Tribolium castaneum: one gene and its partner. The protein of the gene in region 2 purifies or fractionates together with the protein of the main gene of each other region. This does not show direct contact. Links are inferred from orthologs where the notes say so. Each region holds a gene or a part of one and is shown on either strand. Other genes may lie near its edges. The genes, in order: putative transferase CAF17 homolog, mitochondrial; iron-sulfur cluster assembly 2 homolog, mitochondrial.

Region 1 (3,582 bases), about 6.3 Mb from region 2:
TTTTCCTTATTAAATTTCTACATTTAGATGCAGAGGAGGACGATTTATGGAAAACATTCGAATCCTGTGGCCCCATTGCCTCCGTCAGGATTGTAAGGGATGGGAAAACCGGGATCGGAAAAGGATTTGGTTTTGTCAACTTCAAAAATTCCGATTCGGTTACACTTGCGCTAGAAATGGAAAATGTTACACTGAAAGATAGGGAATTAAGAATCAAATTATATAACTTTAAAGCCGCAAAGAATGACAAAAAAATGCGCAAAGCGAAAAAGGTAATTTCTTCCACCTTTTTATAACTCGGATTAATGCTTTTCTAGGTAATAAATGCTGGAAAACGCAGATATGCGAAAAATGCGGAGAAAACTGATGACGTAAAAGGAGAATTTGAGGAAAAGCTGCATTTGAAGGGAAATCAAGCTTTTCAAGGCGTTAAGCATGCAGAGAAAAAGGTAATTCCACTTTGACAAGACGTATTTTCTTACAACTCTTTTACAGAAAAAGAAATTCAACAAAGGGTTGTTGCAAAAGAAAAAATTGGTTAAGCAGATAGCGCCAAAATAATTTTTTACTAAGTTCAATTATTGTAACACTGGACTAGGAATGATACTGAATAAACTTAATCCAGATCAGTGGTTTATTTTATGTACAGTCTACAGAAGTACAGTTCTTTGTCACCTTTCCATTAACTAATAAATCAGGTAACACACATCTAAGGCACAAACGAAACAAATTTCTATTCAAAATGTCTTTATGTTGGCAATAAGCGTCTGAATTGACATTTTGAATTTGATTCAATGCTGCCAACTTAATTCCAATCATAGGCGCCTTTGATTTCAACAATTTACGCGCACTTAATTTTTTCTTTGGGTGCTTCCTGGGGCCACCAGCTAGGTCTGGACGTTACGGCAACTCCATCTCCCAATTTTAGTTCCTTGAAAGCCAAAGTTTTCGCTATTCTCAGTGAAGCCAAACCTACGTCCCCTTCAATGCCCCTCAATTTGCCTAAACTAACATTTTCTTGGACGATTTTTTCGTCTGGATATTTCGTGGGTATTTTGCTAAAGTGGAGAGGCATTAACCGTTTCCTGACCACACCAGTGTGATGCACCCGAGCTGTTAACTCCTGCCCCACGTAACAGCCTTTATGGAAGCTAACACCGTGCAAATAATCACAGTTACATTCAAGCGGAAAACACTCTCCTGGAGGCAAATCTTCAACGCCCTCCCCAACTCCTAAACTATAGCGCAGCCAACGATAGTTTTTGCTTGACGAGTTTTGCGTGACATTGAAATTATCACCAAGTTGTTCGGGAACATTAACGTCACTTTTTGCAATTATCCGTAAACCTAAATTTGTGATTCTTGGGTCGCGATAAATCAGCAGTTCTTTATGGGCTTTAAATGGGGTTTCGAGCGGCGGATTTGCCAATTTTTGGTTTGAATTCAAGTCAAAGTTCTTCGTGTCAAACAAGGCGTAAATTTTTAACTCATCGCTTAAGCTTGTAATGTCGATTTTACGCCTGACTCTGTACAGTTTTAAATGTTTTTGCAAAATATCAGCCGATTTGGTGTCACATTCCACCAAATATGTGTTGTTTTCGGAATTGCGGTAAACAATAGCGTCGTAGAGAATCCGACCGGCGCTGTTTAGGAACATTGTGTACATGCAGCCCGGTCCTGAACTCAAATGTTCAATATCGTTCGTAATTAATCCTTGGAGAAAATTTGAAACGTCCGGTCCTGCCACGCGAATTAGTGACCTGTTATTTAGGGGCTCTAAAACGTTCGGTGATAACGTTGATAGGAGTCGTTTCAAAGATAAGTGGGATATTATTGGTTTCAATTTTAACATTTTCGACGGACCTAACCTAAAAACTTTGGTTAAATTTCTAATGGTTCGGCACGCAAACACGTACCCACAATAATCTCAACAAAATAAACACTTGTGTAATATTACTACACTTGCGAGATTGTAGTTTTGCCAATTTTTTTGAAAATGCAATGTCGTAATATGTGAGGTTAGATCAATTGTCATCAATGACAGTATTTTAAGCGCTTTTTTTGAATCGAAAGTTTCTGTGCTGTTCAAATTGTTTATTTATTGTGCTGAATATGCAACAACCGAACGGTTGAACATCTCTTGTAGTTGATCGGAAAAGTGTTTAATTTTTTGCACGGTTACCACATTTCCATCCAATCTCAGCATCCGCAAGTTGGGAAAATAAGTCCCAATTATTTTGGCATCAAACGAACCCATTTTGTTGTTGGATAAGTCCAAATACTCCAAGGAAATTAATCCACGAAAGTCTTTCCAGTTTAAATATTTTATCAAGTTATTGCGTAATGAAAGAATGGTTAACTTTGCTAAACTTTTGAAACAGTCTGGCAGGTACGTAAGCCGGTTGTGACTCAAATTAAGCACTGCCAGGTTTTTGGTGTAGGAAATTGCATTTTTCTCTATCCCCTCTATTCCATTTTCGGGAAGTAATAAGGCCGTTAGGTTTGGTAGATTTTTAAAAAAGCCTCGACGAATTATCACAACGTTGCTTAAAGAAATCCACAACTCTTCCAGATTTGGTAAACCTTCAAAACAGTCTTCTTGTATACTTTCAAACGTACTTTGCGCCACATACAAAATTTTCAACAAACTCGCATTTTTAAAAACGTGAGATTTGATGTAACAATTTTTCAAACTCAATTCTTTTATGTTTTTTAAATTATTCAATGCATCGTCGGCAATTTCCACAACATCATGTGGGCCCCATCTCACTGATAGCGTCGCAATGTTCCTAAATTTCTGCATTAAGTTGTTGTTAATTGACACAACGTGTTTTTTACTTAGGTGGCAAATAGTATTATTTGCATTAACTCGACAAGAAACATTACTGGCTGAATCTTGCGATAAATCTTCTACAAATTCCAAATGTGCAACATTTGTGAAATTATTAGCAGGTAATTCTTCAAAAGTGGAGAATGCATTAGATTGGAAAAGCTTGACCAATATGAAGATCACCGTCACACTGTAAAGTTTCCTAAAAATATTTCAGAATAGTTTGTTTCGCAAAAATTTGAGCAAACAACAATTTACCTCATTTCCGATTTTTTTAGTAAAACTGTACGTTTTTATCTGGCGCCTTTGTTAGATGTGACCTTATAATAATGGGCTGAGCATTTATATAATTCACAAAACGTTGCAGCTTTCCTGTTTTTAAAAAATAACTAGATTTAACGGAAATATGTTTTTGATGATGATGTTTTTCCACCAATGAGAAAAGAATTTCAAGAAAGGAATTGATTTAGGTTGAGAAAATGTGTCGGTAGGTATAGCTTTTCTGAATTTGGTTAAATATTTTTGAGTTCAACAAAAATATGTTTGATTGGGAGGTATTTTAACGCTCCGAAAAGCATCATTTTTAAATGAAATTTTATTAATTTTTGGTACAACTAGTTAATAATACCGCTAGATCCAGTTGTTTGCAGCAAATTTTCCAGTTTTGCAAGTACAGCGTGCACGAAATGCAATTATCACCTCCTTGTTGGTTCAAAGAGCTGCTTTTAAAAAGGCATATGGAGGCAATATCG
Region 2 (2,702 bases):
TGGTTATTTTTAGGCGTGTTGTAGATGGCTGATAAGGAGTACGAGCTGAGCGATTGCAAGGAGAGAATCGCATGGTTGGAGAAAAGATTAGATAACTGTGAGAAAGAATATCACCAGAAGGAAACGAAATATTTAGAGGACATTGCCAAGCTTAAAAGGGCGAAATATGAAGTCGAAAAGAAGGTCGAGGAGCAGCACATGGATGTGCTAAATTCTGATGTTGCGTCTAATAAATCCAGTGAAGACCAGAATGAGGTATTTCTCTTCAAAAAATTCGGAAAGCTATAAAGTGCATTTTAGGTCACTTTTTGGAAAGAGGAAGCTGAGAGGTGGCGCTCTGAATGCGAAGTCCTGCGTTCCAAACCACAATCAAACGAACGGTTGACTGAATATTACGAATCTCAATTGGGCGAATTGTTGCAAGCCAAGCAAATGGCCTTCTCAGAAACCAAAACTTTGTGGGGTGAAAATCAAGCCTTATATTCAAGATTAGAACATCTGACTGTGGTAAACAAGGAAATAGAAGGCAATCTAGAGAAGAGCAATGAAGAGTTGCTTACCACTATAGAAAATTACAAGAGTCAGCTTGATGCAATGACTGAACATATAGCCGCCCAAAATGATAAGATCACGAAACAGTGCGACGAAATCCAAGCACTCAAACATAAAATTGCGAGCAAAAAGTAAACATTCCTTTAATTTAATAATTTATTTACATTATTTACTCTGTATAAATTATGCGGTTTGTTTAATCGACCTGTATTTATTTACATATTTGCAAAAAAGTCTAATACAGTTATTGCACTAATCTGTTTAATCCAGTCTGACAGCAAAAGACGACCCACAGGAACACCCTTGCTCAGCTAACGGGTTATTGACAATCCTGAAGGAAGATTTAATTAGTTCTTCCCGGTAGTCGACCGTCGCTCCTCTAACAAAGTCCAATGACGTTTCATCAATCACAACTTTAGCTCCATTTTTTTCAAATATTCTGCAAAATCATTTGTAGCTAAAAATACATAATCGGTGCTCACTCACTTATCGTCTTCATTAATTTTCGAGTCTAGGTCAAATTTATACTGGAAGCCCGAGCAACCGCCCCCATCTACACTCACTCTTAAGAACTCATCCGAATTTTTACTGATATTTTTCAAACGCTCGACGCAAGTGTCAGTGATAATTAATTCCGGTTTTATGTGCTCCAAAGGTTTAATTACAGGTTTTGAATAATTTCGGGATAAAAAATTACGCACACTATTAATTTTAAACGGATAGAACCGTCTCACTAACCCTGACATTTTCATAGGTTAGATTATTTTGGCAGTGCCATAATTTGACAGTTAAGCGGCTCTTGCCAACAGTTGCATCAAAACCAAAAATTACTAGAAATGCCGGCCTGGAAAGCTGAATTTTCCGAATTTGGTCGCAGATTTTATACAGTATACAAATCGAGCTCGTTGACTATTTTGGTCATTTACTCACTTCTTGCTCGATTCTCTGCTGTGAATTACAGATTTTATAAAATTTTTTAAACTATACAAAAAAATAAAAAAAATGTGGGCAGCGATATCTAGGTGTCGGAAGTCAAAGTACAATTTTACAGTAACCTGTAAATCTGCGACAGTTGGTGCCATTTAGGTTAGGTTAGCATAACCTCACAAAATTCACGTTTTTAATTTTTCTTATCACAAGACCGGAATTCTCGCACAAATCAAAAATGGTCGAGCAGCAGAGACAGAGAATTGAGCAAGAAATGACCAAAATGGTCAACGAGCTCGATTTGGAGTATTTGCGCAAAATGCAGGTACTGTATATAATTTGTGACCAAATTCGGAAAATTCAGCTTTCCAGGCCGACATGCATCGCTGCGCTGCGAAATGCTGCGACAACCGGGAAATCTCACTCGAAAGTGTTCAAAAATGCGTCGAAAACTGCGCCTCGTCCGTGAACTATGCCCAGAATTACGTCCAAAGAGAGCTAGAACAGCTCCAAAATAAGCTACAAAGGTGCGTTATGGACTGTAACGACGACATTCGGGTGAAAATGGGGCCTAATCCTTCGGAAGCTGAAGTAAAACAATTTGCCAAACTTGCAAAAATATATTACGTTTTTTAGGTTAGTAAATATACAGCGCTGTTTGAAACGTGTGCCAAAAACTGTGTTGATAAACAAATTGCATACATGCCCTCGCTTTTAAAACGAATGAAATCTGAACTAGGAAAAAATAAGTGAGGTCGAGCAAACTATATATAGTGGTTGTTGTTTTTAGTTACACTTGAATAATAAAACATGTTAAAAAAATTAATTTGTGGCTATTTTAACGGGGATTCCCCGTGCCACACATGCCGCTCGGGTTGCGTAGAAGTTTATCTCTGATGATTTTTTTACGGCACTTAGGGCTTTCAACAACTCTGGCTCGTGAGTGTGGCAAGTGGGTGGCGGATCAAAGTGTTGTTTTGAAAAATTTACTACAAAACAATTAACGCCGTGTGCGATTTTCACATTTTGTTTACCTTTTTCGCCTTTCTTCCATTTCGCCTTATCCAGGTGTTTCCAATGGACTTTTGAACACGGTATCCAGTAACTCAAAAATTCAGTCGCCAAAATATCAGTGTCCAGATCTGTGACCTCCCATAGCATTCCCACAGTACAAGGGCTTTAAAAATAAGATTTATTACAATTTCGCTGCTCCGCGGGCGCAG

Evidence for each region.
Region 1: the proteins of iron-sulfur cluster assembly 2 homolog, mitochondrial (region 2) and putative transferase CAF17 homolog, mitochondrial purify together in Homo sapiens (co-immunoprecipitation; 4 studies listed by BioGRID and IntAct, with this or other methods). This does not show direct contact. The link is inferred for Tribolium castaneum from reciprocal best matches to the Homo sapiens genes ISCA2 and IBA57.

What each region holds. Positions count from the first base shown.
Region 1 is NC_087396.1:19,132,159-19,135,740, forward strand, and holds putative transferase CAF17 homolog, mitochondrial, read right to left. Parts: upstream 2,057-3,582; 5' UTR 1,921-2,056; exon of another isoform or gene 1,917-1,920; intron 1,869-1,916; 5' UTR 1,853-1,868; coding exon 842-1,852; 3' UTR 621-841; downstream 1-620. Other genes in the region: uncharacterized protein LOC100142251, read left to right, coding at 28-272, 318-449, 496-561. UniProt on the Homo sapiens protein: Mitochondrial protein involved in the maturation of mitochondrial [4Fe-4S]-proteins in the late stage of the iron-sulfur cluster assembly pathway. Operates in cooperation with ISCA2 in the maturation of [4Fe-4S] proteins.
Region 2 is NC_087396.1:12,844,960-12,847,661, reverse strand, and holds iron-sulfur cluster assembly 2 homolog, mitochondrial, read right to left. Parts: upstream 1,422-2,702; 5' UTR 1,305-1,421; coding exon 1,039-1,304; intron 992-1,038; coding exon 814-991; 3' UTR 695-813; downstream 1-694. Other genes in the region: protein phosphatase 1 regulatory subunit 21, read left to right, coding at 25-255, 301-687; protein FAM136A, read left to right, coding at 1,718-1,804, 1,852-2,070, 2,116-2,232; uncharacterized protein Sse, read right to left, coding at 2,302-2,468, 2,514-2,656. UniProt on the Homo sapiens protein: Involved in the maturation of mitochondrial 4Fe-4S proteins functioning late in the iron-sulfur cluster assembly pathway. May be involved in the binding of an intermediate of Fe/S cluster assembly.